Linked DNA regions of Alligator mississippiensis. The protein of the gene in region 4 purifies or fractionates together with the protein of the main gene of each other region. This does not show direct contact. Links are inferred from orthologs where the notes say so. Each region holds a gene or a part of one and is shown on either strand. Other genes may lie near its edges.

Region 1 (7,545 bases), on a different chromosome or scaffold from region 4:
AAAGGAATAATACAAGTCATTAGCTTGTTCTCACGGTTCCTGAATTATCGGCCCAATCTAGACAACTAAGCACTTTTTGAAAGGCGAGCACGCACACAATGTATTTAAACCATGAATTAAGACACTAACAAGCATGAGCTTTGTTCTGGCAGGCATTCCACACAGGCACATGCCTGAAAAAACATGGCCGGAAGTGAAAGCATGAAGCAGAAGTTGCCTACAAAGATCCCGACTTCCCCAAAAACTGTGGAGGGGCTGCTCTGCATGCCTCCCACAACTAGAACGGTGGAAAACAGTCCAGAGGAAAGCATGTGTGTCCTGACCCAGCAATGGCCTCTATATGCAAGAGGCAAGTGTAGTCTCAATCTTAAAGACAAAGAGTAAAAACAGATCATGGTAAACAGTTTATAACCTGTAAAGGAAATTGTGGTTATCCAACTTTGTGCTTGAACCATGAAACCTGAACAATATTCTCCTATTATTGATTACAGAGTGGTGCTGCAGCTCACTCATATGAATGGTTTGACCTGCCTGCAGTTAAGCTTGTGTGCAAGTGTTTGCAGGATTAGGGCTTTAGTCTACATGCCAGTCATCATCTTGGGGGTGTGCAATTTCATTGCTAAATAAAATCTGCTGAAAAGGAGGGGAAGAAGAAAAGATTCACATTCCAATTCCTAGGACTTGGCTGTGAAGAACTGAAAAAAAAAGAAATCGTTATCTAAAGCTGTACTTTTCAAAATAATGGTTTAAAGACAACAGTGATCCTAGGAGGGAGGGTGGCTTTCTGTCCTCCACACCACAGTGAACTAGATTTTTTCCCTTATAACACAGCTTTAATTCTCTCTCCAGTACTTATCTGTACATAATGTTCTTCACTAGACTTGCTCCTACTCTCTGCTGTGGAGTATCAATATGGGCAGACACTGCCTACTAGTCCAACAATCACAATGAAGTACACTACAGAAAGGCAGCTGAAAGCCATGGTTCTTTTGGTTGTATTCTAAATTACTAGTCTCAGCATGACTTCAGGGTATGAAATAGAACTATGTGAAATGAGAGCTGCTAAAATATCTATAACCAAGACTGTCCTTTTATTGTTGGCTCAATGACAGGAAGATGCTGTAAAAACTCTGTAACTTAAGTTGGACTCACATGCTATTGCAAATCCTGCTCTAGGATTTGGGGCTAAAGGCACAGTTCATTTGCTATGTATAAGAAAATTCTGGAAGGATGAAAGAAAAAGGTTTTTCTTTAACCTCCTTACTCAAAATGACTTTATTTCACGCTGGGATATAAGTGACATATATTAAGAGTATTGTATCTGGATATTTCATTTGGCTCCCAATTTAAATGTTTTAAATACAGCTCTTACTAAATGACACAACACTATTTTCATGACAATTCCCCAATAAATAAAATCAATAGCAGCAATGGGCCAACAATATGCATCAGTGAAGCTCAAGCTTGAAGACCGTCTCTACACTAGGAGATTTTCTTATTTATTTCCAAGGATTTACATAATTGCCGCCAGATGCAGATCCACTGGCGGCAACCACGTTGAAAGCACCATGTATAGACAAGGCAACGCTGCTTATAATATTTTGTTTATCCACTACGGCCCGAAACAGACCTAAATGACAGAGTACTGAAAACATCAACAGCTGCCCCGGTACCCCGTCTACACTAGCTTCTCTAATAGAGTTACCACCAGTAGTTGCAATGGTGAGAAGTTCTCCCCCGACTTCCAGTGCAGGGAAGGCCTGACCCCACCTTCAACTGAAAGCACCATCTACAGTCTGTACCTCGGTTTACCATTAAAAAAAGGCTGGAGTGAGGGGACCCCACTCAACGCTAGTCGTGTAGTAATGAAAAGAGATTGCTAATGTAAAGCCTGAAAAAAGACAAACAGCAAATCTGCCACCCACTCCAGCTGCCCTTCGCTCTGACTGATAACACTGATTATATTTTTATAAATGGTAAAAAAGCCAAAAAAAGATCACGCACATACTGTACACTGAAAAATAAGTTCCCGTTCACTTACAAATGCTGCTTCCCATCAACAATCGCGCTGCTCTTCCGAGTCTCAGACCATTACATCAACCATTTAAAAGGAAAAACGCCACGCACCGTACATCCTGCACGCTAAGCCACAGATAAACGTTTCTAGTATCCCCACAACAATTTTTTTTTTTTTTAAACCAGAATAGGCACTGCAGCTTGTCAGCCCCACGGCGCTTGAAACATTTACAGCCTGGGGTGATCTCTAAGCTCGCATGTCACCGGCGTGCTAAGGACACTCGTCTACACCGCAGTGCTCTGCATTCACGCCTCCCAGCCAGGCGGAGAGGGCGAAGCGTGCACTCCAAGCAAGCCGCTCGGGCATCCCCGGGACGAGGACGGCGGAGACGGCGCAGGATGCTACGAATCCTCCTGCCACCGCCACGCCGCCGGGAAGAAGCCTGCCTCACCCAAACCGAGGAGACGGTGGGGGAGAGGGGGCGGGTGGGGGCTCTCCCCTGTAAGGAAGGACGCAGCGAGACAACTCGCGCGGAGACAAAGACCCAGACCCAGACCCCGCACCCCGCGGGCACAGACCCCCCAGGACCCGGATCCCTCCCATCCCCCCACAGACCCGCCCCAGCGCCCCCCGCCCCGCACCTGCGCCGCCCCCGGCCCGCCCGCCCACACAGCTGGATGCCGCCGGGGCCGGACACACGCGCACGGGGGGGGGCAGCATCGCCCGCAGACCGCGCCCCCGTAACGGCTGCAACGGCCCCGCAGCCCGAGGGGGGGGGGCGCCGCCCCCTCCCCCCGTTTCGCCTCGGGGGGCGCGGGAGCCTCACCTGGGCGCGGGGCGGCGGCGCATCCCGCGGGGCGGGGCGGGGCGGGGCGGGGCGGGGAGATGAGGAGGGCGGCTGTGTCGGTGTCGGTGGCAGCTTCAGCTCCGGCTCGGTCCAGCGCGCGACACCCGCTCGCGCTCGGCCACTCCGGGCACGTCGCGCGCGCCCGGCCCGCGCGGCCCCGCCCCCTCCGCGAGGCCCCGCCTGGGGCCACGCGTTCGCCGCCTCCGGGCCCCGCCCTTCGGCGCATGCGCCGTCTGCTGACGAGCCCCTCTCGCGAGGGGCGTTCCTTTCCCCGCGCGCCGGCTGTCGTAACGAGGCCGCTTTACGGCCGCTCCCGGCAACCGTGAGGCGCAACGGGAGGTGCGCGGCGCCCGGGCTATGCGGCGGCAGGTGAGGCCTGGGCCCAGCGCCGGCCGCTCGGCGGGCAGGGGGCGATGCGGGGCCTGCCCGGGTTGCGGGGCGGGCGGGAAGGCACCAGCAACCCTTGGCGCTTCCTTCGAGCCCCGCTTTGCGCGGATCCCCCTTCCCCGGCGGCTGGTAATGAAGCGTGTGGTTGGTTGCCTGCAGCGAAATACGGTAACTCGTGCGGTCGCCTGCAACAAGTTACGGTAATTCAGCAGCACAGTGACGTGACCGGAGCTGCCCCGGAGCCTTTGGGTGACGAATGTCGGAGGAGGAGGTGTCGCCGCCCTCCCCGGCCGCCCACACCTGATGGCAGTGTGGGGGGATGGGATGGGGGGGGCAGTGTGGGGGGTTGGGCAGCTGCTCCATGACACGTGCCAAGAGCAGCAGTCGTCAGCCTGGCTCCTCGCCCCTCTTTTTTGCTTGGAGAAAAATCCCAGTGCAGTTGTTCTGTTCCAAGGAGACACCGGAAGTTTGCTATCTCAAATCTCAGGGTTTTGCTTGTGCCTCTCAGTACTTGCACCATATTGTGCAGCCTTGAAAGCCTCCAAGGTGGGGAGCACCTGGCTGAGAATTGCAGCTCTGAGCAGAGGTCGTTCCCTGAGTGAGTCTGAAGTCTAGTAGGAAGCAGAGTCGATGGGCACCTTGGACTCCCCAGAGTAGGTAGGCAGGACAAGCTTCCACGAGCTGAAGCTTGCTTCATCAGATGCTGTGAAAGGAGATGCATAAATCCACCCTGCTTCCCTTCTGCGTGTCTAGAGGCGGGGCAGGAGGGCCTCTATCAACCCTTGGCACTTCCTGCAACCACCAACGCCCCTGCAACACTGTCCCTGGGCTCCACGGGGCCCACAGGCAGGCGCCCACATGGCGGGTGTTTAAGGTTGGAAGCTAGAGGTGCCTGCAGAAGGCTTGGTATTCTTTGTCTGTCATTGCTCATGGAACGGACCATGTCAAGGTATAAAGAGCAGGGAAGGGTGCGATCACTGCATTACATAGTCCCTTAGGATAATAAAGTAGGATGGTTTCTGCCATGATTTGCACTCTGAGCAGTATTTCAAACCTTTTTCAGTGACCCCTTACTTGAAGTAAAATCTTATTATAAAAGAGTAAGATTGTGTCAGTCTTAAGACTAAGTATAACTGACGTATTTGTATGGTGTAGGTTCAAGACACTGTTGAAGACTTTGATCTGAAAGGGTAAAGAGGAGCAGAGATGAGATTTTTTTAAATTCATTTCATATGAATGAAAGTCATAGCATGTTAGTTAACAAATACTGCCTTAAAAGTCAAGAAACAATTGGTATTTTTTTTGTTAGTTGCATATTTTGGCACCAAATGGATAATTCAGCCCAAAGAAGTGAAGCAATTTGCCCCAAGTCAAGAATCAAATCTGAAAACTGGAGCTAGAATCCATATTTCCTGAATCCCCCTCCTAACTACTGAACCATGTTTCCCTTTTGTATGCCATGACACTTTGAGGTGATGATTAACGCTTACTTATTTCACTGAGAATCAAGGGTTCTCAGTAATTTACAGGAAATGGTACTTAGGAAGACTGTTCTCTCTTACAGACACTCTAGGACAGTTTCTTATTGTACAATACTATACAATTATATCTAAAAAAATTGGGGTCAACTGTGTTGCTTGAAACCTACGTCATCAGTTCAATTTTAGTGGATGCTGTTCTTCAGAGATCAAAGTCATAATGCCCAAAGCAGTTCTTGTGACTGAATGCCACTGTGGAACTAAGGAGAACGATGAACACTTCTAAATGCATTCTTTTTTTAGGCCTTTTCAATATTTCATTGAACAAACTTTGTTTCCAAGTATGTCAGTGTGATCCACACATTTTTTCTGTTTAACTTCCCAATTTTTGTTGTATTGGAGTTTTGTACTTTTTTGTTTATCAAGCTTCTTTATCAGGATGGGTTACTGGCATTCTCCAACGAACCTAACACCTCCAACCCACTCACTCTTTGGAGTAAATTGTAAGTCCATGGCTGTGTTCCTGGCCTGTTTAAATCTTATTTTGGATCCTATGCAATTTCTTGCCAGAAGAGACTTTTAAACAGAATGGGATATTTGAGTGCTGTTCTTGTGATAAAGTTGTGGAAGGCTTTATTTAGTTTCTTGTGTCCAGAGCATGACTGAAGCCCTTCAACATTCTGCCCACACACAGTGTATAGTTTTTCATTAATGCATTACTAAAATATTATTAGCTATTTTAATTATCCTTATTTTAAAGGATGTGGGAGCAGACCATGTTCCTAATTTGGTAACTCCTTAACAAGCTTGGAAGGATGTTCTCTTGCTCTGGAACCAACATATGGACTATAATAGGCATCTAGAACCTGTATGAAGACCCATATTAAATTAATAATGCTCTTTGAACAAGGGCTTAGCGTGGTCATGCTGGTAATGCAGTCCAGATTGCAAAGACAAAAATAAATCAGTTTTTCCCCAGTATCTCTCACTACCACTGATTATGTTATGAGTAAGAGTACTGATGTACTTTCAAAAACTACTTCCTGAAAAGGGATGGTCTTGTGGCCAAATCATGGGGTTGGTAGTCAGGAGGCTGCTTTCTATTTTCAGCTCTTCCAAAGACTTCCTTTATGACCGTAGGCAGATTATTACGCATCTCTACCTCCAGCATGTCCATCTGTAAAGTTTGCATTTAGCTTCATCAGTTGGCTTTGTGTTTTTCGCCAAATTTTGTAGATTTGTTAAAGACCACAGTAAACAACACATTTTAAAAATATTCTCTCCATATGCTGTTAGCACTTTAGAAAGTTGAAATATCTGGTTTAGTCTTAACCATTTATGATATTTGCCTTGCATGTTTTTTCTTTATACTAGGTGTCTAGTTGGTTTAATTTCCTGTTTCTCAAGTATGGGTCTTTTTTTTTAATTCTTGTTTTGTTAGTTTACCACCGTGCAAGGAGAAGCTTATATTTAAAGCACTGTTTTCCTCTTTATTTGATGTAATAGGTCGTATTCCATAAGATTACCTGCTACCTTTATATTTTGGCTTTAAAAGGGTATCAGACTTGTATAAGGTGCCCCAAACCAGTTATAATATATTGCAATAACAGAAATATGGATGAAAACAGAGCCCATGTGATATTGTGGTACTGCAGCCTCTGTAATGGAAAGTATTCTGTGAACCTTTTAAATTGGTGAGTCTTCTGTACAACTTCTGAAGTGTGACCTCAGAGTAAATCAACATACTCGACACTAATTCCTATTTAAACCACTACTTCTCTTCCTGTCCCCCCCCTCCCCTCCCCTCCCTACCACCACTTTATATCCTTACCTTCACCTAGGAAAGCAGGTAAATGTCTTATTTCAAAGCCGTCGTTGCTTTGTCCAGCAGCAAGGCAGAGGAGTATATGTTGCTTTCGTAAGTTCAAAAAGCTACTTTAAACAAAACAAAAATCAGTGAGCATGGCTCCGTTTATAAGCTAGAATAAGCATTTTAGTCCTTGGTCAGTATTTTTTTTCAGATTTAATAAGAACGTGCTTGCAGTTGTCTCCAGAGAGTAGGTCTGATATGCATTTGAAGTGGGCTCTGTGAGAATCTTTTAAACACCAGGGAATTAACTGATTTAATTGTGTGACTTGGACTTGAAAGACCTCTGAACTTTACATACAAAACCATATCCAAACATGACAGCAAGTTCATCTTTAGTTTGAATTGGAAGGCCTAGTTAGAAAGAGAAATCTGAGATTACGTACACTTTCCAACTGGTTCTACTAATCTTTTTTTTTGTGTGTGTGTACAGTATGTACCACTTGGACTGGGTGGTTTGGGAGCAATGTGAATCTGTGAAGTGTTCTTTAAGCTGTGTAATATCTGGTGAGTCACCATGCAGTACTTACAAGCAGTTTCACAAATACCAGATGGCAATAACATTAAAAGTAGTAGCTAGTAGCAATTAGGTGGTGGTTACTCTAAATCAGGAAGAAAGAATGCTTGTGGGAAGCTACCAAATGGCTTACAAAAAAAAAAAGCCTCAAACCGAGTTTCATTTCTGTAGGGTGAAAAATTAACAAAGTACAGGATGCAAGCTTTGTGATGCAACTGTTAATACTTGCAAGGCATGTTTGGCATCTTTACTGTCTCTGGGAAAAAGTGAAGCAGAAACAGATTGGTAAGGAAGAACTTTCTCACGAGGAACTCTTCAAACTCAAGACTGGCCACTTCTAGATTGCCTTGATAGATCCCTAAGACTTTATATAGACTATTGCTCAGTTATGTTTAAAAACTCCTGGAGACTTAATAAGATGGCCATGTTTCC
Region 2 (7,888 bases), on a different chromosome or scaffold from region 4:
GGTTTTAGAAACATTATAAACATCTTCCTCTCCCCTGCTGCCATATGAGCGTCTCACCAGAACAGGCAACGCTGTTGTAAAGACTAAACTGAGTGGGACTGATTTGTCAAGAGGGGGAAAGCAACAAGGAAGGAGGGCACTGGGGAGGCTACAGGCATTCATCTGAGCTAACTAACATCTCTGTTCCCTTCTCATGCATGCAGGTCACACAACCCAGCAGAGGCTAGCACCGAGGGAAGGGGGAAGCCAAGCCTGCTGTTTGCAGAAGGCAGGGTACATACACACCTTTATAAACTAACTAAATGAGATCTGTATAGAGCATGAGCTTTTGTGCACCCAAGTTCACTTAAACGCAAGCGATGCAGGACAGCCAGTGCTCACACGAAGCTCCTATAAAAAGGCATGGGTGGGGAGTGAGGACAGCAGAATCAGCTGAGAGTGCAGTTCCCATAGCCTAGCACAGGTTAACACAGGGTAGGAGAAGCAGCTTCACATGGCATGGCATGGGCAACTGGTGCATCCCAAGTCTGGCGGGGCATCAGATCGCCGATGGGGGGCCTAGCAGCCGATTGCCAACCGGGGGGGGGGGTGTCCCCTAGTGGCTGATGCACTTCCAGTCTGGCCGGTGCACTTCCAGTTTTGTGGCTGGCGCTTCCAGGGGGTGCACAGCCAATCTCAGGAGGTACGTGTGCACCCATGTGCATCCCCTATGCGTCACCAATGTGGCATGCAATCAAACACTGGCATGCATCTACCAAGGCATCTCGAGCAAAACTAAGGATGTCATCCTCCTGCTCCACTTGGCCTTGGTGAGACTACAGCTGGAGTACTGCATCCAGTTCTGGGCGCTGCACTTCAGGAAGGATGTGGAGAAGCTGGAGAGAGTCCAAAGGAGGGCCACGTGCATGATTAGAGGTCTGGAGAGCAGGTCATATGAGGGGAGGCTGAAAGACGAGGGACTGTTCAGCCTGGAAAAGAGAAGACTCAGAGGGGACTTGGTGGCAGCCTATAAGTATATCAAGGGTGTACATCAGGGCCTGGGGGAGCATCTGTTCACCAAGGCACCCCAGCGGAAGACAAGAAACTATGGGCACAAACTGATTGAAGATTGCTTCAGATTGGACATAAGGAGAAACTTCTTGACAATTCGAGTGCCGAGGGTCTGGAACACTCTCCCCAGAGGTGGTACAGTCACCTACCCTGGAGAGCTTTAAAAAATGACTTGACGCCCACCTTGCTAGGGTCATCTGACCCCAGCAGTCTTTCCTGCCCAAGTGCAGGGGGGCTGAACCCAATGATCTTGTGAGGTCCCTTCCAGCTCCTAACCTCCATGAATCTATGCAATTCGCACAGTATGCTGGGATTTGCAAAAAACAGCTCTAAGCTGAGCCTGTCACCCACTCAAGCTGATGGGAGGAGGCAACTGTTCCTGTCTCAACTGCTCCCTGACCTGTGCAGGAGAAGGAAGTAATACAATGATGCCCCCTTGGCATGACATGTTTTATAAATGTTTTTAATGCTAAAAATATATTCTATCCTTTTACCCACGCAGTAGGGTTTCTGTTGGCTGTCAAAGGTCATGTATCTTCCCAGGACATATCTGCAAAGTGGTCCTTACAACCTCACACCCAGATCCATTTATCACTGCTGGCCAGTTCCGGTCTGTCGCCTATGCTTAGTGTCAGGCCAGTTGTGTCTTGTCTCTCGTGTTTTCTGGGGTTATGAAAGTGTTTTCTCGTCACCTTTAGAATCCTTTGTCATTTCTCATCATTGACAATAAGTGTTTTTTCATTCCTTTTTCTTTTTGAGCAGGAATAGAAAGCATCACAGTTTCCGTTTCCCCATCAAGTTGCTGAACAGACATTTCTCTGTCATGTTTGCGCTATGCTTTGTCTCCTACTCTCTGCCTCTATTTTAGTCAGTAATTCTGCTCTTGTTAAAAGTTCACCTCAGTTGTGGACATTATTTCTGCTGATGTATGCTCCTAGCATGAAGTGTCTGTGTAGGAAATTAACAGGCTAGACTGTTTTTGACACAATCCTTTTGACACTTTTCAGTTTGGTTTCATGCACTGAGTGGGTGGGTGAAAAGTATTAGTCTCTGGTTACAAGCTTAATGTTCTTTCTGTGAAAATATTTTTGTCTTTTGGGAGATGGTTTACTTTCTAGTAAATCTGTTCTTTTGGATGGATCTTGAGAACTTTATTTTTTAGAACGACCAAGCCTTATCTCACCTTGAGTACACAACTGCTGCAGGAGTGACTTCTCTCAGCCGCTAACTCAAGAGATGGGTTGTGGGGATTTTTCTTTTTTTCTGCCCATACCTTAATCAGGTGCGTAATCAGGTGCTCTGAACAAATTCAGAGTATTCAAGAGTCAAAATTTCTACTCATTTTTCAGGCTGCTGATATAACAGAAACTTACTAGTTTCCCCATTTTGCTGGAGGACTTCTTGGAAATCTGAAAATGTCAAGACCTGATATTTCTCATTAGAAGAAAAATCTTGTCAGGAAAAGTTGTCGGTGCTTTTATTTCTGTTGTGTAAAACAACAAAAGGCCTAGAACGGGTTGGCAACCCCCAGCACAAGTACCAGAGCATGGCATGCGAGGCCATGTTGCCTGCATGTCACAACTTGCCTTGGCTCTGAGCAGCTGCCGCTGGCCACGCAGCCGGGGTTGCTCACAGCAGGTGGCAGGGAGGCTGCGAGCCCTGCTGCGAGCAGCCCAGGCTCTGTGGCAGGCAACTGCTGCTAGCCATGCAGCCTGGGCTACTCACAAAAGGCAGCAGGCCGGCTGCAAACTGCTGCTCTGAAGTCTGTGGAGCCCTGGCCCAGCTCATTGCTGGCAGCAGGTGCAGACATACCTCTAGGTGGACAGTGGGGAGGGGCAGGGGCATGGCTGTGCTGCCAAAACAAGGATTGGGCCCCTCATGGCTTCCCCACCACCCGTCCCTGGCATGCCAGCATCTTATAAGTCAAAGGGTGGGGTGTTTTTGGCACTCCAACCAAAAAACCGTTGCCAACCCCTGGCCCAGCCACGTTTTTTCTTTGCATCTTACAGTCCCGACTTTGCAGAGAACCACATTGCTGAAATCAGCAACAAAACTGCGTGCACAAGGGTCGCTCTTACCGGGCTCAGTGCAGGATCGTCAGGACTATAAGTACTTTGCAGGTAGGCCAGAAGGAACACGTCTCTCCAGATCCATGGCAGCGTTAACTCTGTGGTATCATGTTCTTTTCTTTTGGAGTTCTGATTTGTAATTCTGCACCACGGTGGGGTAAGAATAGGGCTGGTTAGACAGAGCCACATGTGAAAGCTCTGTGGCACATTGCAGTGTTCAGCCGCCCCATCTTTTTCCCAGCTGCTGCTAATTTGACTCCCCTAAACCACTGTTATTTTCTCCTATCTCCACCTTTTGGCCTGTAGTTCCCACACCTACTAATCTAGCTTATTTCTTGCTCCTCCTCAATTCCTCCACTCCTCTCTTTTCATCATTTCATTTCTCTCTCCTACCTCCCTGGGTTGCAGATCCTCCTTATGCGATGCCGAAAGCCAGACACAGCTACTAAGCTCTTCTGCGGCTGTGGGGAACAAACCTGACATCCCTTTCTTTTTGAATCGGAGACATGGAGAAACGTACGCTCGCAGGGAAAGGAACCGAGCAAGCAGCTGTGCGCCAAGAACGAGCTGAGTGTTTCCAGAGGTCTGGCAGCAGCAGCTGAAAACCATCAGACATTAGAAATGGGTCGGTTCAGCTTCACAACACAGGAATGGTGCGTACGAACCAATAACGAGTTCTGCCAGTTGTCCTGACGCAGGACATGGGAGCAGACGGCAGCGCCTGGGCCACGTGGAAAGATCGGAAGCGATGTGGACAGCGAGGAAGTGCTCCTGGGGGTCCAGGAGGGGAGAAGGGAGCCTGGACAACCAGGAGACGATGGACAAGCGACCTATAGACATCAACGGTGGATGGAGGACGAAGGCACACAGGAGACCGGAGCTGAGGATGATGGAGGAGGCAGCCAGGGGCCTGTTGCGCTACACTGCCCTGACGACTACTGTTCTTTGTCCTGCCGGGATCGGGGGTCGTCTGCCCCCCCGGGAGGCCTGGAAGCACGTTTTTGCAAGAGCCAAGCGGATCTTTTCCGTCAGGGAACGACTCCAGGTGTGGGGGGCGGTTGGCAGAGACCCCACTGTCGTGATTCTCACTAGGAGACGGGGCAAATGTGGCAGCAGGTTCAGAGCATCCTGCCCTGGGGACGAAAACACCTCCGCCTGGAGCAGGGGTGCCTCCACCCCGGCCCACAGGCTGGATCCAGCACAAGGGATTCAGACGCGGCAACAGGGGGCCACAGCAGTGAAGCACCCAAGCCACAAGCGGCTGGACTGGCCTTGGGGTGCTGCCAAAGCGGGGTCGGGGTCACAGACTGGATCTGGCTGGGAGCAGCTGGGCCCGAGACGAGCGGGGGGAGTGTCTGTGTGCTGGGGGAATCCACGCTCCCACGACCCCATGAAGGGGGCGTGGCCGGAAAGCAAGAGGCCCCTCCCTCCAGCCGCCACGTGCTCTGGGGCGGAGCCCGCTGGAGTCCTGGGGGCGTGGCTCTGGCTGCCTTTTGAAATACCTCATCCCTCCCTCCAGCCAATGGCAGTGGGGGGGCGGGCCTGGGTACCATAGTAACCCAACCGCCAATGACGGACGGTGTGGTGGAGGGGGGGAATGGCTGAGTCCGCTAAGGAACCGGTCAGCCAATGGCAGGCCGGGTACCGCGCGGCCGGTGCTGCGTAGACAGCAGGCAGCCAATGAGCGTCAGCGCTCGCCTGCGGGCGGGGCCCGCCGGAATCGACTCTCCCCCAGTAGCAGTACGGGGGCGGGCCCCTCGCTCCTTTGTGGGCTTCGACGAGAAGATGGCGGGCGGGCGGAGGCGGAGCGAGGTGCTACGGTTGGCCCCGCCCTCCCTCTGAAGCGCGGAGCGGGCGGCGAGGCGGGAGCGTGGCTCCGGGCGGCGGCGGCGGCGAGGCGGTGAGTGGGGCTGGGCTGGGCCGGGCCGGGCCGGGCGGGGCGCGGGGCCGGGGTGGAGCCCCCGAGCAGCGGAGCGGAGGAGCCCGGCGGGGCGGCCGCGGCGCCCGCAGCGGAGTCAAAATGGCGGCGCGTCCCGCTCCCCGGGGTCTCGCGGCGGCGGCTCGGCCTGGCCCTTCATCCTCGCCCGGGAGCCGGGCCGAACCCCGCATTACACTGCGGATGTGTGTGTGCGTAGAGCGTGTGCGTGTGTATACCTGTGCGTGCACGCAGTGTGCGCGCGCGCGGATGTACACGCACGTGTGGGTGGACATATAAGTGCATGGTGTGTGTGTGGATGCATACGTGCGCATCTGGGTGTATACGTGCGTGGTGTGTGTGGGTGTATACGTGCACTGTACGCACGTGGGTGGGGGTGCGTGGGCGGGCGGGTGTATGTACGTGTGCAGGTGTAGGCATATGCAGGTGTGTGCACGCCTGCGCACAGGTGTACGGATGTATGCCCATATGTGTGTGTGGATGTACACAAGTATACAGCTACTCCTCACTTAATGTTGTAGTTACTGTCTTGAAAAATGCGACTTTACATGAAACGACGTTAAGCGAATCCAGTTGCGTCGCAGGAGTTGCGTACCAGCCGGCGGCGGGCCAACAGCGCTATAACCAAACGTTGCGCGACTTTAAATGCGTGTGCTCTCTAATAGATCAGTGACGTAATAACGAAACAACGTTAACAGGATGACGTTAGGGGAGGAGAATGTGTACACTCACACACTATATATATATATATATATATATGTGTGTGTGTGTGTGTGTACACATGTGTGCATAGCTAGGTATCATGTGCACGCGTGCGGGGGGCACAGCCCTCTGCAGGAGGGATGGCCTCTCGGAAGGGATTTCTGTTTGCCGGTTATTGCTGGCTCCTGTGGCCTCATTTTTGTTACAAGGTCACCTCATGCCCATGACTGGCCAGATATTGGGTTTCAGTTTCAGGAGAGGTAAAAGACTTGTTGTTATTATGAAAATGGATTAACTCAGCGAATGCCCCATCCGCATGCTACTCGTGTCAGGGTATTCTAGAAAGCTTCAGGTATCAATGCCCCGTGCGCTTCCGCATTATCAAGTTGTCCAGGAGACTGGCGGCAGGGTAATGAGAGGTAGTTAGTCCTGGGAGTCTGAAGGAGGCTGGTGCACCTTGTAGACGAGCAAAATCAGGGATGCATCCCTTTTATGAGCAGCCGCTCGCTTCGACCGAGGCTGTGGAAGGACATGCGGTACCGTAACAGGTGGAGAGTTTGGCAGGCAGGGACACATGGACGGCAGTTTGAACAGGCAAGAACGGCTTCGGTATGAGGAGGGGCTGAAAAGACTCCAACACCTTAGCTAGGATAAGACATCGTTCAGCAGGGATGGAGTAGAGCTCTCTAAAATTATGAATGGTTTGGGAAAAGGGAATAGGGAACGTCTGATCTCTTGCTCTGTCTCGTGACATGAGAAATAAGCCGCACTCAATTTAATTGGGTGCGGCTTATTTCTCAAGTTTTAAATACAAATTATTTTATTAATACGACACATGCTTGTGAAACTCATTGCCACAAGACGTTGAGAAAGCCAGTGGCATAATGAGGTCCAGAAAGGGTTTAGATAAAATTTATGGAGAGCATTAGTCCATTACAGCCTATTAAATACATTATGTACAAAACAGTCCATTTCATCACATCCTTCCAGCTAGCAGCAGTCCTAACTCCAGGGATGTTCTGATCCAAAGATGATATCCCTAACTATTGTAACTTATGCTCTTTCTTCTGAAGTTTCTGCTGCTTGCAGCTGTTGGGGACAGGATACTGGGCTAGATGGACTCTTGGTCTGATGCAGTATGTCGGTTCTTATTGTTCTTGTGACTTCTGGTTCTCACAGTAAGTGGATCAAAGAAGAGGAGGCTGCTCTTCCTCCTCCCTCTGAACAAGAGCAAATATTACTTTAAATTATTGTGGGAGACAAAATCTTAAACAGCCAAGCCGGCAACAGTCTTGTCCTCCTGTTACTGTCTGCATTTCTTGCATATCTGATAAAATAGCAGAGAAACCTGTTTATATTTAAAACAGGTGTCAGCATTAACACTTATATGTAGCATTTAAAAATACAGCAAGGCATTGGTTTGTATTTCCAAAGTTTTCTTTGCAGGTCCTAAGGACCAGAAGAAATTCTTAAAGAGAACTTAGTTTCTTCATCATAATTGTGTAGCAATGGGTAGAGTCTCAAACAAATTTCATTACCAGGGACTTCTCCTACTTTAATTAAAAAAAATGCTCATTCCAAGTGGTCTCATTTGTTCCTAGGCACAGATGTTTTCTGCCCCACATCTCTGGTTCTAGAAAACAGTGTTTAAGGCAGGGTTGGGTAGCTCCCAAAACGGGTGCCAGAGAGTGGCATGCAAAGGCCACTTGCACTTTGCTTGGCACTTGCACTTTGGGGCAGACAGCGGGGAAGGGGCCTGGGCTGCGCTGCCACAACAAGATCAGGCCCCATTCTGATTCTGCCACCATCGGCCCCTGGCATGCCAACATCTTAAATGTCAAGGTTGTGGGTGTTTTTGGCACTCTGCCTGAAAACAGTGCTGACCCCTAGTTTAGGGGGGTTTTTTTCTTGCTCTACAGAAAAATCCAGAACTGCACAGTCACATGCATTGGGCTCCTGCATTGGGTACCTGTTCCCTTCCCTCTGCATATTACTAAAGTTCATCTCCATAGTTACCACTGTCTTCTTTAGTTTCTAGATCTAATAAGGAGTCCTGCTCATGTTTGCTTATTATTGAGGCTTCCTTCTGTTCAGCAAGCCCTTTCATGTCAGTTTAATGTTTAGATGCTGA
Region 3 (7,500 bases), on a different chromosome or scaffold from region 4:
ACTCACTAGCACCATGACCAAAAAAGACTTCGGGGGTCATGACTGACCACAAGATGAACATGAGCCACCAATGCAATGCTGCAGCTGGCAAAGCAAATAAAACTCTGGCTTGCATCTACCGAGGCATCTCAAGCATGACCCAAGAAGTCATCCTCCTGCTGTACTTGGCCTTGGTGAGGCCGCAGCTGGAGTACTGCATCCAGTTCTGGGCTCCACACTTCAGAAAGGATGTGGAGAAGCTTGTGAGAGTCCACAGGAGAGCCATGTGCGTGATCAGAGGGCAGGAGAATCAGCCTTATGATGAAAGACTGAGAGCCATGGGACTCTTCAGCCTGGAGAAGTGCAGGCTCAGGGGTGACTTGTATACTTATAGGCTGCTACCAAGGGGGGGTACACCAGGAACTGGGACAATGTCTGTTCACTAGGGCACCCCAAGGGAAGACAAGGTCTAACAGTCAGTCTCAAACTGCTGAAAAACTTCTTTACTGTCCGAGTCTCCAGTCTGGAATAGACTCCCCCCAGAAGTGGAGCACGCATCTACTCTGGATACCTTTAAGAAACACTTGGATGCTTATCTTGCTGGGGTGATTTGACCCCAGTTGACTTCCTGCCCCTTGGGCAGGGGGCTGGACCCGACGATCTCATAAGGTCCCTTCCAGCTCTAATGTTTATGTAATCCCCACATGCTGTCCCTCCCTGAGCCTACTGCCAACATTTTCCAGCCTGTCCCATATTATCTCTTTCTACAAGCCATCCATATAATTGAGCCAGTATCATACAGCATCTTATCACTATAATACCGTTCTTAACTTGGATCCCTTATTTTCATCCATAAACAAAATCTATCTTCACCCCTTCAAAGCTCTCCTTAAATCCAGCCCATCAGGCCCCCTCGCTCCCCTTTTCCATAGTCACTGCGGGCACTTTAAAGCATGCTCTCAAGCTTTTTAATACATGCTCTCAGACAGCCTCTTCAATTAAAGCTCATTTGTGGAGCTTTAGTTCAAGCAACCTCATCACCATTTTTAAGCGCAGAGACATTGATACACGAGACACAGGAGGCTGCTAGAGCCTGTGCACTCGTGTACAGATGCCCGGGGTCCCTTGAACTTCTTTCTTTCACACACTGTCCTACACAGTGTCACATTCTCATTGACCAGTCCCCTTCCCACTCTGCTTTCAGAAGATGCATGTACTCTCATTCATAAAGCTCACCATCTGTTTGCTTCATGTGGTACTACACTGCACAGTCCCAGAGGGCCAAATGGCCTCTCCCAGGGGCAGGGACTTGCACAGCTCACCCATTGGAGAGTTTCCTGTAGACTTCTGCTACAGGAAAATAATATCCAACTGTTCTCTTCACTGAGCTCAACTATCATGGATCTTGAATGACCACAACACAACGGAAACAACCTTTCCTCAGCCACAGGGAGTAAAACAAAATGCAGAGAAAAGACTTGTTTAAGAGATATCCTGAAAGAGCTGCCTTTGCCAAACTTTGTCCCCAAGAACAGAGAGCTGAGAGACTGTAATGGTTTGTTATCAATTGGACAATGGGGTTACAGGAAAAAAAACACTGCGATTGCTTCAGTAAAACCTACTAGGTTTTTCAGCTGGGTCTAACCTCCCATTTAAAGATAATAGAGCACAATTAAGAGAACAGGAGTCCAAACTTTAGAGCTTGTCTAATTCTCTTCTGCAGGGTCTAGACACGCTCCTCACTCACAGACATTTGCCAACAGCCCAGTTTGACTCTCGAGCCCTCCAACACGCCAGAAGCAGCAAATTATTAGTTCCACACATGACATCACCGCCAAGAAAACCACCTGCTCTGCAGAAAAGCACCTCAAATGAGTACTTGAGCATCACCCTCCAGAGGCAACCACCCTCTCTGCCACAACGGATTCCCGCCACCACCTCTGCTGTCCCCCGCTACCCCCTGCCCCGGGCACCCTACCACCTCTGCCCCCTGCCTCCTCTGCTATCCTTGCTCGCTTCTGCACAGGGCACCCCCACCTCCTCTGCTACCCCCTCTCCTATCCCATGCGCCCCCATGGGAAACCTCTTTTGCAACCCCCCCCTCCCCACCCCCATCAGCTGCTGATTGGCGCTGGGCACTGCCCTCCCCTGCCCCCAGCAGCCCTGCTCTGTGCCAACCCTTCGCCCTGCACCTCACCACTCAGCCACCTCCTGTCCCACTCTGCAACAGGCACTACCACCCCACCCCCACCACCCCCTTGCACCAGCTGCCCCTGCCTCCCCCTCACTTATCAGGGTGGGGGACCCCACCCCAACCCCTCTCCCCCCACCCCTTCTTCTGCCAACCCATCCCCCACCTCAGGCACCCCGCTCCCCCCAACAGGACCTCCCCTCCTCTGCCACCACCTGCTTGGGCAGTGACACCCCCCACAACTAGTCAGCACCCCCATAGCCCCCCCAGCACATCCACCGCCATCCCCACGGCTCTCAGGAAGCCTTCCCACAACCCTCAGGGCCTACCCCGCCCCCACCTCCCAGAGCCCCCCCCCCAACCCCCACCCGCTGGAGCCCCCCCCAACCCCCTCAGGAACTGATCCTCCCCACCTCCAGGAGCCCCCAAGCCCCTTCCCCATCCCCTCAGGGGCTGCCCCTCCCCCACCTCCAGAAGCCTCCTCAACCCACAGCTTCCAGAGCCCTCCACCCCAAACCTCTTCCCCTCCCCCACCTCCCAGAGCCCCCAAACCTCCTCCCCTCCCCCATCCCCTCAAGGACCTCCCCTCCCCCACCTCCAGGAGCCCCGCCCCCCCCAACCTCCTCCCCCACATCCCCTCAGGGACAGTCCCCTCCCCACCTGGCCGAGCCCCCGCACCCCATGCCCTGAGGGCCTGCCCCTCCTACCCCATGCGCATCTTGGAGCCGGACTGGCCGCCCCCGCCGGGCATCGGCGGCCGCGGAGGAAGGCGACCCAGGTGCAGCTGCTTCTCCAGGGCCGACATGACGGCAGGGCGGGCGGGCGGGAACGAGCGAGCAGCCACCTCCCCCACCACCACCACCACCGGAAGTGCCCCTCCACACCGCGCGGCACCTTGGGAAATGGAGTCCGCTCCCCCACCCTCACCGGAAGTTCCCGTGTCTTTCCCGCTGCACTCGAAGCCGGAAGTGACCCTCCGGAAGTCCTTCCTCAAGGGGGAGCGTTCTCAGTGGTAGTGGCGCCGGAAGTCCCTCCCTCCCAGCCGGAAGCGGGAGGGAGAGGGCGTGGTGCCGCGCGGCCCGTTGGGGGCTGTAGTCGCGCCGCGCTTCTTCCCGGCGGCCCCCGCGGCGGCGGCGGCGGCGGTTGCCGGGCAGCGGCGAGGCGATGAGGCGGGAGCGGGCCAAGGGGGTGCCCCCGCGCCGGGCCCGCGCCCCCCCCGCGCCGCGGCCCGTGCCCGCCGCCACCAGCCTCCCGCCGCTCGTGGCCGGGCCGCCGCGCGGCCTCCTCGCCGTCACAGTAGGCCGCGTCGTGTGGGCCGGGCCCGCACCCCCCGCCATCGCTGCCGCGCTCTGCCTGCGCTGGTGGGGCGACGCCTCGGCCGGGACCTTCTTCCGCGCCGGGCCCGGCCGCAGCCAGGCCCGCTTCCCCGTGCGCTGCGGGCCCGCGCAGCTCGCCGCCTACCTCGCAGGTGTGGGCATGGGCACACGCACATGTGTGTGTCTACATGTGTATACATGCATGTGAATATGCATACGTGTGTGTGGATATGCGTGTATCGGTGCGGGGGGGGCTCGCTTCATGAGTTAAGGGTATGCGTGTACAGGTGATGTGTGCACGCGTGTGTCCGAGCGTGCGTATGAGGGTGCAGGTGGGTGTGGAAGGAGGGGTCCTCGACGTCGCGCCTCATTGTCGCTTCCCCGATTCCTGCTGTTCTCTCCGCTGCGCGGTCGGTGTTAACGCCTCTCTGTGCTTTTTAACGGCCTTGAGGTTTCATCCCTTTGCAAAATCCCCGGTCTCGTCTCTCTTCCGTTTCGCAGCCCGGCCGACCGGGTTTAGCTGTAGCTAGAAACCTTCAGTCAGGCGTGGTCCCACTAACGAGGGTGTGGTCCGACTAACGAGGGGCGTCTCGTAGGCGCCGTCACGGCGCTCGAGGCAGCTGGATTCGGTTTTGCGACTCTGGATAGGAGACGGGCAGACGTCTCCTATTCGTATAAAATCTGATATCTTTTATTAGACTGACAAATCGTTGGAGAACGGTTTTTAAGCAAGCTTTTGGGTTCAAAAACCGTGGTCAGTTGGTCTAATAAAAGAGATCAGATTCACCCAAAGAACCGTGTCTGCCTGTGTCCTTAGACCAACACGGCTACAACCTGCACCCGTGTGAATAGGAGATGGACATTTAACTACAGCGACTGCAGGACTAACCATACACTATCCTTTGACTGGTGTTTGCCTAGTTTAGTTTGTTGCATTTTTATTTTTTAAAACTTCATGTGTACTCAAGCAAGTGGTGCACGTTCCAGGACTTGTTGTTGTTTTCTGCTTCGATCTTTAACTGAATAAATATAGCGCGAGCCCCCTGCCGTATTAGCGCGGCTTCTAGTTTCTTTTCAAGAAAAACGTGTTGTTATATGGGATGAAGTGCCACGCCCTGTGCACCCCCCTTGTGAGACTCCTAGATCCACACATGTGCATGTACGTGCATGTATGCACGCACACATGCAAGAGGGTTCATGAAACCTTGTGCTACACGCACACACTGAATAAAGTAGTGTGAGCCCCCTGATGTATTAGTGCAGCTTCTAGTTTCTTTTCAAGAAAAACATGTTATGTGGGATGAAGCGCCACACCTTGTGCACCCCCCTTGTGAAAATCCTAGATCTGCCCGTGTGTGTGTGTATGCATGTGCGCACATTGTTCAAGAGGGTTTGTGAGAGCTTGTGCTACACACATACACATACATAGCACAAGCTTTTACAAACCCTCTTGCACGTGTTCATCTGCATCTTGCAGCCTTAATGCCGTAAGCTTGAGCTAGTGTCAGAAAGCGCGGAGTTTACTAGCCAGCTTGTTACTTCTTCTTGGCTTCATGAAACGGAAAGAGGCTTATACGAAGCACCCCTTGTTTCCAAGGACACTTTATGCCTGCCCCCCACCTTTCAGAGGCCTTGACATGCAAAACACTATTGTAGTATTGCAATACTGCAATATATATGCACTATTGCATGCTGCTGAGTCCTCCTGCCAAAATCACTTGGGAGGCAAGGATGAGAGGCTGTTCCTGAGAAGGACAGCATGCCTGCAGCTCTTAGTGGAATCACTAGAATCAGACTTTAGGGCTGTATTATTTAACCTGGGCTGAGGCTTAGTTTTGGGAGGTGCTGAATGACCTTGCCAAGCATCAACAGCCCTCCAGTTGTATTTGAGGATCAGACTCTAGATCTGTTACTTATAACCACATTTATGTCATAGTAAAGATTGTGTGGTTTTGTAGCTGAAGTAGTGTAACGATAGATCCTGTCAGCTGTCACTTCACATTTTTTCTCAGGCTCTAATCCTTTAGTGAGTTGTGTTCAGGGGAATCGTGTACTGACATGGACTTTACTGCAGGATTGGGCTTCAAAGCAGCCTATTTAAGTGCATGTGTGTGTATTGTAAGTAGTAGTCCATGAGATGGGACCGATTATCTTTCATTGTCCAATACTTGTCTCTTAACAGTACAATACTTTTTTTACCTACTGTTGTATTTTCTCACATACAACATGCGCTGGAGTACAGCACGCTCCTTGTTTATGAGAGGCAGACTGAAGGAAGAAAAATCTGTTCTTGTAGTATGTAACTGAGTAGCAGCAGCCAGGGAGAGAACAAGGTCCTGCATGGGCACCAGCTATACGAACTCCTTCGTGCTGCCCCATTAGGGTGCTCTGCTTGCAGCCGACTTTGCCAGTAAGCGGCAGCACCTACCCTGAGAGTATTTATCTTGCATAATGTGCACTCCAGTTTCCAGTAGCTGTTTTTTGAGGAAAAAGTGTATCCTGTACCTGAGAATATATGGCACATATGATCATCCTCCTATCTTATTTTAATGATACCTTATTTTGTTGTCTTGGCATTTCATTTTCTTGTTTTAGTTTTTCAATTTTAATCGCCTTTTAGCAGCAAACTGTTGTTACTTGCATAAACCCTTTTTAGATGCTTAAAAATGCATTATACCAAACCTAAATTAGCTGTTCTGTCTCCTGTAGATATGGGTGCTCTCGTACTAGAGGTAATCACCAAACCTGACCATCTTCCTATCGGCAAAGTTCAAATTAATGGATTGTCACAGCTCTCTCCAAGCAATCCAATCAGTGGATTTTTCACCATTGTTTCACCAACGTCTGAGAAACTAGGAGAAGTGCAGGTAGTACTGAAATCTTTCCTCCGACTTATAGTTTGTATTCCTATAGCAACTTGGAGCCCAAGTCAGGGGCTAGACACCACTATGCAAGGGGCTACAGAATAAAAAGCAAAGGAATGGTTCATGTCTCAGCCTACAGCAGTGGTTCTCACCATTTTTGAGCTTGCTGCACCCCTCATTAGACTCAAGGTGCCCCTCCATAACTTTTGTGAATACAGTGCCACCCAATTTGAAAACTATTTTGCAGATTATGGTGCTTGCTTCCTAGAAGGAGGGGCCTGGGAGTGAGAATATGGGAATTGTTCAAGCAGGGACAAGCCTGAGCCTGCACTTGCTTAGTTTATCTGCTTATCTCCTAACACCTCACGTATTACCTCACACTTCACAACTTTCAAAAGATCTGGTAGCACCCCACGGTGTCCTGGCACCCTGGTTGAGAATCACTGCCCTACAGTCTAAGACAGGAGGTAACTGATGGGTAAGGACAGGGGAAAATGCACACACACTGAAACAGTGTCAGTCAGCATGAGAAGTGGTATTCATGGCATGCTAGCAAACTGACTGTTGTGAATATTTTATGTTTTTTTAAAGGCCTCAAACTAGATTTCAAATCCATATTTAAACTTAAACATCCTTTTTATTTTCTTTTTTTTACCACCCTGGCACTGTTTCTCTGGAGAAAGTGATTCCTTAGCTTTGTGTGATGTGAAATAACAAACAAATATTTCAGAGTTTAGGCTGGTGCCCTGCATAACTGTAGAATACATAACATTTAGGAGTGAAACAACAATATGCTGTAGAGTATAAAAAACACACAGAAATAAAACACATGCATTTCTTTATATTGTCTCTCTTAGATATCGTTAGTTTTGGAACCATTCCCTGAAACCTATGACAAGAGCAGCTCTCTCCCAACCACAGATGCAAGTAAAGATATTATCTCATGTGCTAAGGGAACCAGAGGGATGAGTGAAACCAGCAAGCCTCAGTTTCTAGCTCCACCACAAACATACAGGCCTCCTGGGATGTGTGTTACTGGAAGAGAGTCTGCCGACAGCAGCAGGGCTGCAACTCCTAGGTAACATTTTTCCTTTAGATACATTTTCCAATTCATATGGTTTACTTTTAAGCAGTAGCCATTTGACTATAT
Region 4 (7,822 bases):
ATTTCTCCATTAGGAACAGTATTCTTCATACATTTATCTTGCAAATATTTGAGTCATTGACCCTGGGAAACATGTTTATTCTATTTAAGGCAAATGATGGCTTGCTTCAGAGTTACATTTTCCCTAATAAAAGAGGTCACTGTTAGAAAAGCAAAATATTGGCCTCTGGTATTGTACTTTGTCATCCTGAATCTTCCACTTCAGGCTCATTTTGAAGGTCACCATGATCTGGTTTTCTTCCAGCTTTCCTTGTATGGTTTCTATAATATGTATTGCAACAATCCAGTGTTAAAATGAAGGGCTGCATATACCTTTTTATCTCTTGCAAACTACGACCCACAGAAAATCTGCAGCCAGTAAAATTTATTTACAACCTTTTCATATAGGAATGGTTAGTTGAGATAAAGGTGCTCATCATTACATTGTTAGACAACTTGACCCATCAGTATAAGTCAAGGAAAAAAAATAACTCTGTTTAAAAGTGGAACAGATGCCTTCAAATAAATAACATATTGTTAGTAGTTGAGGCAACTGCAATGTCTGAAATGATTATTCAAGACAGTTAAAATATTTTTTTTCATCTAATTGCAACAGAGGTGTAATAAGAGGAGTGCCTCTTCTCCTTTATATTCCCTCTCACCCTCACCAACACATATACCAACATACATTGTTAAGTATCAGTAAGAAGATTAAGTCAGGGCCAAATATTGAAGCATTTATTTACTTTTAGTCAATTCTAATAAGGAAAAAACTCCCACTCATGCCACTGAGAGTTCTGATTAATGAAAGATGGCGTTAAAAGCAAGGCCCAAATTCTGTTGCAGGTTAATCCACATTAGTGAGTTTGGCTCACTGACTGTAAAGGCTAAGTAAGGAAAATAAGGATTTCAGAGTTTGGATTTCAAGTATTAAACATTCATTCTGGAAGATCCAAAATGCCAATACTATAGTAAAAATAGGTTAGACTCCATGATTTTGAAATAATGCTTGAGCAGCAACTATATAATAGAAGTGTCTTATGACCATCTTATGACCCTTGTGCAAGATCATAAGGTCTAATGACTTAGCTGTGGTCTGCTGTTCTTACTGCTTGCCTTGCATCTTGAAGTTATCCCTGCCCAATGCCCTAAGGTTACGCTAAGATAAGATGTTGCTAAAGTTTACTAACTTTGCCGCAGTTCCCCTTTTCCTCTGCGCATGCGACAAAAGATTTCGCTGCAGTTCTGCTTTTTGAGTGCGCATGCACTAACCCTGATAAGTCACACTAACCAATAACAAGTTAAGTGCAGCCTACAAGATAAGACATAACAATTAGGAAATGGTAATGCTGCCAATAAACATCTAATACGTTAAAACTCTATGTTCAATGTAAGCTATAAAAATGTAATTCCGGGCCGGACTAGTCGTCGACTCTGATTTGAGCTCAGCTCCTGGGTCGAACTGTTTGCAAACAATAAATCTGAGATGGACCCAGCCTGTGTGTGTGTGTGTGTGACTCTCTCCTGGGGTGGATTGGACAAGCCTCCAGGGGAATGAAACTAGCCGTTTGGGCAACAATACCAAAGTAAGAAACTTCCAAACAACACCAGGATGATATCTTTCCTCTTGGAAAGACATCCCTCTGTGGGTTAAAAAGTAGTAACTCTTCAGCAGCACACAGCACTACAGAGAACTTCAAAACATTAAAGATTACCTTGGAATAAAATTTGCTCTCAGGTACACATGCATAGTTCTCACCAAAACCAATCCAAGTGGCATCTCAGTAAGAACGGACTGAGGTATCCCTTGCAAATGAATGAGAAACAGGCGTGGGGGCCTGGTCTCTGTTCTTGGGATTGAGAACCAAACTCTGCAACGCACCTTGCTGCCATGGCAGTAGTTGGATGGGCTCAGGAGCTGGATGCTGCTCTGTTTTGTGAGGCAGTGGGAAAAAAGAAAAACATGAGCAGGCTGGCCACCAAGCCAAACCAACACCACATTCTAGCAAGGTGTGGGAAAAGATCATCGCAGACTTACCTCCCACTGCTAGAAGGTTTGAAGCCAAAGCCTGAGCTACACAGGGCCTAAGTCTGGGAGGCCTCTTCATGGGACTCTATAACGAGTATCACCCGTGGGAGCTGAGGAAAATAAATTGTAATAAAAACTTCACTGCCGGCCAAGGGGACAACACAGCTGAACCACTGCAAGGTTGTGAAGCCAGGACTTTGTGCTCAGGAGGACAGCAAAACTCCCACTGCACCACTACTTGAAGCTTAGCTGTGGCAGCCTGCTCCATGGGATTCCTTGATGAGTGATGCCCAAGGGAGCTGGGGAAAATAAACTTAAAAAGAAAAAAAAAGGCAGCTGCCAGCTGTGAGTGAGGCAGACCATAAGAGTGAATCCAGGCCCTTGAATTCAGAAAATGATCAAATTGCTCACTGTACCACAACATGGAGCTTAGAGCTGCCACCCTGTCCTGTGGAAGTGCTTGATTGGTGATGCCAGAGAGAGCTAGGGAATATTTAAAAAAAACCCTACTCCTGGCTTCACAGCAGACATAAGACATAGCTAAGCCAGACTGGAGTCTTGAACCATGTACTCAGGAGGCCACTGAACTGCTTGCTATACTGCTACACAGAGTCTGGGCTAGCAGCCTGTTCTGTAAGATTTGACTGGTGATACTAAAGGGAGTCAGGGAAAATTGAGACCAGGAAACATCCCACTGTACCAGAGCCAATATCTTTTGCCCAGTCTTCCTGCCAACACTCCTTCTTGGGCTGATAGCCTTCCTGAGGACTAGAACGGGGCAGAGCCAAAGGCTTGCTCTCCTTTCTTCCTATGATACAGACAAGCCAACCTTGTGAACTGAAGCAAGTCCCCAGATAGGGTCCCAAATCCCCTCAGGCAGTTTGGAAAGTTGGCCATCTCAAACTACTAGTTATGTCCAAGATAACATCTCTATCTAAGATGTGAGATCATCTCTAATTCTGGCATAGCTCAGACTCAATCAACATAATTATTGAAGTACTCCAATGATTTTTTCATCATACTTGGCTTGTTCTGTAGATCGCCACAAGGCTCAACATCAAGTCAGTTTTCAAAACTTACACACCCTATTAAAACTTACTGACTATAAGGATTTTCTACTTTTTAAATATATTCAGCCTTATCTATAGTCTAAATTAGACACACTACCACACAATAACATCAACGGTACCTCAGTTAAAGCTTACATAAATGATCAGGTATCCAGGTTGTACCCGTATTGATCTAGAGGAAAAGGCAACCAGGACTCGTAGTAGAGATTATATATTTTATTAGGCCAACAAGAAATTTTTTTTGCAAAAATCTTGTTGATCTAATAAAAGATACCATCTCTACTGCAAGCCCTGATTACATAAATTATCAACACTTGAAAACAGACCAAATTAAACATAGTAAAAAGCTTACAGAGTGGCCAGTATCCTTTGGCTGCCAAAGGTGACAGCGGTTTATATAGCGGGAGGGTGTAAATCACCTAGGGGCAGATGATTTGCTTAGGCAGAGTCACTGCTAGATTTCTCTCTCTAGCTGTGTCCTTATATACTGTAGATAGCATCAGTTATATAACTTCACTAATTGATTATCATATGACTATAAACCTATTTAAGGTTTTCAGTCTCAGTGTTGCATTACTGAGAATGTTCTATACAGAATAAACAAACACAAACACAGAGTGAGAAAGGCAGGCAGATATACAGCAAAATGGATGAAGGAAACAAAACTGGAAGATTAGACTGGAACCACTTTGAATTTCTATGTAGATGGAGGTGGTGCACAAGTTCTAGACAGCTCTGTGATTTGATTCCTCTTTGTTTAGGGGTCAAAGCAAGAAGTGGTAATGTTCTAGGTTTGGCTCAGATCAATAGAAATCTTACAGACAGCTGTTTTTTTCCATGTAGATTTAACCCAATAGCTAAATATATCTCATAATATATGTATAGTTCAACCAAGTGCTTCCTACTAGAAAAGAGGAAGGAAGTGTGATTCTCGTGCTTAAAACAGGAACCTTGGCAATCAGGAATCTCAGTTTCTACCTCTAGCATATTTTCTTATTTCCTCAGATCAAAAGGGTGTCCGAACCATAATTTAGTCATTGGTAAAATTGATTTACGGCACTAATATTTGTCTCCTTCTCAAGCAGGTTGTGAAGCATCTTGAATTTCCTGTTTAAAAAAATGCTTTGAGAACTTTGGATAAAATGCATATTATCAAAGAAAGCAAGTTGTTCTTTGTGTGCTGTTTTGAATTGTGCGTTCTAAAAGGGAAATTTTTACTATGTCCTTAAGGAGAGGAGGAGCAGCAGTACATTAAATCCTAATTTCACTCACAGGATCTTACCATAGAGTGTTATTGCAGTGCCGGGAGCAATTCACAGTGCTATTGTTTATATAGAAATGCTTATAATATAAATGCCTACGGTATCCTTTTAAAACAACTACAGTGTACTTCAGCTTCCATGCAAACACTAAAATATTGTAATGATCAAGTAGTCTGACACGTTTCATTCTGCAGAGAAAATTGCAAAGCAATTCACCACTAGGTAGGCCACAAACTAGAGGAAAACGTTGCTGTTTTGTTTTTGTTGTTCTCTCCCTTTTTCTTTTACACTCTCTCTTTCACAAAGATGGAAATGATTTGGGGCATTAGTATTCTGATGAAGAGAGGCTGTGACAAAGACCGTGACTGCAGGGCCTCCTGACTCCTCTATGATGCTGCCAGTGATGTAGAGGGGACTGACTCCAATTGCACCGTTTTCGAAATAGCCCTGAGATGGTACAGAGAGAACAGACAGAGAAGCAATTCACAGCTCAGGCTGTGAATTGTTTTCAGTTTTGCAGTGCTAGGTTATCACTTCGCATGGAAGAATGATACCAGGTAAGCATGTATTTGTCTTCATTTAACGGTTGCAGATGGTCGGGTGAATATGTGTGCATGCATGGGTTTTAAAGAAAGATTATCTATCTATCTATCTATCTATCTATTTATCTATCTATCTATCTATCTACACTTGTGTGGGTACATCTTATCTTCTTTCTGTATGTGTTTCACTGGCAGGATTTGGAAACCTCATGCAGGATGTGTTGTGGTGTTTTAGTCAAGTAAAAGGAACTATTGACATAGGGGTCACAGAAGGTAGGTTTGTTTTGCCTTTTGTTGCTTTAATCAAAGATAACTTGTTTTTTTATGTACTGCTTGTCTAATCAGTCAGCATTTTTTCTCTCATTCATATATTGTCAAGTACAATTGAAAGCAAGGAGTTGAGCTGTGCCTCCTTTCTTTTCTGGTTTTCTCAAGTATTTATTTATTTTAATAGACAAGTAGCTAAGATTAACTAGCGATCCAAAACATTTGTATGATATAATGATGGCTTAAAATATCAATAGCCCATCAGTACTTTGTAAAATGCATTGCCAGGACTTCTTTGTTTTTATTTCAATAATGTCTAAGGAAATTAGGAGCCAGCCAAAATTATTGGATGCAGGGTTTGTTTGTTTTTCTAAATGACATCAGAACTTACTTTTTACTCCCGTATCTAAAGCTAATGTACATTTTAACACATAGGCTTTTACAGATATGCATTAGTCAAAGATACAGGGGTGATTCAGGAGAACAGACATTGACTTTCATACTCAGTAGTTTTCAGTGGGATTTGCACTTCTAAATCACTTAGGCATTTTTTTAAATCTCCTTTACAAGTAGCCCCAATGTTTTAATTCATAAGTGGTCACGTATTAAATACATATAAATTATATTGGGCCAAAACTGAATTAAACTTGGAAAGAAATAAATTCAGTTTTCCTGCCCTTTAATTTGCGTGTGTGCGTTCTATCTTGCTCTCCTCCTCCATTCATTCCATTATTTCCTTGTCTTCTCTCCCTGTTGATCCATTCTTTCCTCTTTTTCTCTCTGTTCACCTCTGACTTCCATTTGCCCTGTTTATCTTCCATTTTGTTTTTATTTCCACTGCTTATCTATCATTCTCCTCTGTTGCCTTCACCCTTTACTTGTGTCCCGCATGAGTATCTGAAATCCCTTATCCCATCCCACTCCCCTGTTGCAGCCAAGTCTCCAATCCCCACCTCCCCATTTTATTTCTTGATGCTTTCATGCAAGTTGTGAATTGTTTGCCCAGAAATTCTGACGTACTTTTTTAAGGCACGGGGCGGCCAACCACCAAGTGCTCTACCACCCAACTGGCAGAGACCTTTTCTGAAAAGATATTGAGGCTTGACTGGTCTGACTTACTTCACTCATCTCGCATGGTTTCAGACCAGTTTTTCTTCATGTTTTGTTTAAATGATCAAGGAATATAAGCTTAACATTAACCTTCAGGTCTCACCACAAACGCACGATGGCTGACATACCACAGTCTGGAGAAGCCAATGTAGATATCGTATACCAGGACTTAGTTGCGCTGGCAAAAGTATGCCTCTGAGGGGAGATACCATGATGGTTTCAGTCCAGGTGGTTTTATGTACAGGCAGTCCTCAGACTTATTGGTCTCTGAAAACAGTGTCTTAAGTCGAAACGTTGTAACTTGGAACCAATTTTCTCCTAAGAAACAATGTTATAAATAGGGGATTCGTTCCTGAATCTAGGCCTGATACCCTATTTTCACCAAAAATACCCCAGAATTTTGTACTTAATCAATTATAGATGAGTAATATAGCTACATTAATGTATTTATATTGTAAATATATAAATACAATATAAATATATAAATAGCAATCATATTGATTTGGAAGGACTTTGAGATGACTTTGCTGGACTTTTTGAAGGGCTCTTGGTTGGACTATTTGAAGGGCTCTTGGCTGGAGTCTTCTCAGGAGTCTTGGCTGCAGGTTCTTCTGGAGACTTGTCTGCTTTCTTAAAGAAAGTGTCCAAGGAAGTTTGGACAGATGTTCTCCAGGGAGATGGTTGACATAGCAAACTTGTTCGCTGGCATGGCATCACATCAGATCAAGCATTGTAAAGTTGAAACTGAGGTCAGAAAGTTGAAACAGGGTGTCAATTTGTAAATGTTGTAAGTGCAAAATGTTTTGAAACAGGGTGTCAATTTATAAATGTTGTAAGTGCAAAATGTTGTAACTCAAAACATTGTAAGAAGAGGACTGCCTGTACTGTCAGGGGAGATCCCCTTCTTCCCTGCCTTGAATGACTTGGTATAGTTGAGGGTAGATACCTGTCCATTGCGCAGTGGGCATGCATCTCTGCGGGAGTCTACTGTAGTGTGCCAATGGCAGGGTATCGGCTACATGCTATGTGGTGATGGGGGATTGCTCTTGGGCTCTCCCTCTGTCTTGCTCCTATGGCCTTTTGGCTGGGGGCAAGCGAGACTAGGGGGCATCTGAACTCCAAAATTGGGGCTTGTACACTGGATGCCTGCCATGGATTTGGGAGTATCTGAAAGCCCAAACTGATGAGTATGGGAGGTAGGACCACACAGACTTGTATGATTAAGCTTTGCTCAGTCCACAGAACTTGGAGCTGATCTGGCTAATTTGACCCAAGACAGTGAGGCCCCTGACAGATGCTACACTTAAGACATGATTAGCCAGTTAATTATTAACCAGTTAATCATGTCTTAAGTAGTAGCCCAGCCACACCTTCAATGGTGCGGTAGGGAATTAACCACAAAGTTACTACACAAAATATGTGTAACAACTTTTTGGTTGGTTCCTTCAATTCAGCTAAGTGGCACTCCCAGCCACAGGAGCCCCAGGCCCCAGCTTGCTACTTGCAGGGTGAGTCTAAGATCATGCACCAGCAATAATAGTGTTGGGATCTGAGTCCCAACCCC

The links.
Region 1: the proteins of PPP2R2B (region 4) and MYO9A purify together in Homo sapiens (affinity purification with mass spectrometry; 4 studies listed by BioGRID and IntAct, with this or other methods). This does not show direct contact. The link is inferred for Alligator mississippiensis from reciprocal best matches to the Homo sapiens genes PPP2R2B and MYO9A.
Region 2: the proteins of PPP2R2B (region 4) and CDCA4 purify together in Homo sapiens (affinity purification with mass spectrometry; 4 studies listed by BioGRID and IntAct, with this or other methods). This does not show direct contact. The link is inferred for Alligator mississippiensis from reciprocal best matches to the Homo sapiens genes PPP2R2B and CDCA4.
Region 3: the proteins of PPP2R2B (region 4) and PPME1 purify together in Homo sapiens (affinity purification with mass spectrometry; 3 studies listed by BioGRID and IntAct, with this or other methods). This does not show direct contact. The link is inferred for Alligator mississippiensis from reciprocal best matches to the Homo sapiens genes PPP2R2B and PPME1.

Annotation. Positions count from the first base shown.
Region 1 is NC_081834.1:45,293,218-45,300,762, reverse strand, and holds the start of MYO9A (unconventional myosin-IXa), read right to left. Parts: upstream 3,013-7,545; 5' UTR 2,844-3,012; intron 1-2,843. UniProt on the Homo sapiens protein: Myosins are actin-based motor molecules with ATPase activity. Unconventional myosins serve in intracellular movements. Regulates Rho by stimulating it's GTPase activity in neurons.
Region 2 is NC_081825.1:289,655,240-289,663,127, reverse strand, and holds the start of CDCA4 (cell division cycle-associated protein 4), read left to right. Parts: upstream 1-4,882; 5' UTR 4,883-5,019; intron 5,020-7,888. UniProt on the Homo sapiens protein: May participate in the regulation of cell proliferation through the E2F/RB pathway. May be involved in molecular regulation of hematopoietic stem cells and progenitor cell lineage commitment and differentiation.
Region 3 is NC_081824.1:466,851,979-466,859,478, forward strand, and holds the start of PPME1 (protein phosphatase methylesterase 1), read right to left. Parts: upstream 3,008-7,500; 5' UTR 2,976-3,007; coding exon 2,878-2,975; intron 1-2,877. Other genes in the region: C2CD3 (C2 domain-containing protein 3), read left to right, coding at 3,335-3,638, 6,196-6,353, 7,208-7,428. UniProt on the Homo sapiens protein: Demethylates proteins that have been reversibly carboxymethylated. Demethylates PPP2CB (in vitro) and PPP2CA. Binding to PPP2CA displaces the manganese ion and inactivates the enzyme.
Region 4 is NC_081832.1:64,055,423-64,063,244, forward strand, and holds the start of PPP2R2B (serine/threonine-protein phosphatase 2A 55 kDa regulatory subunit B beta isoform), read left to right. Parts: upstream 1-4,811; 5' UTR 4,812-4,886; coding exon 4,887-4,896; intron 4,897-5,076; coding exon 5,077-5,154; intron 5,155-7,822. UniProt on the Homo sapiens protein: The B regulatory subunit might modulate substrate selectivity and catalytic activity, and might also direct the localization of the catalytic enzyme to a particular subcellular compartment.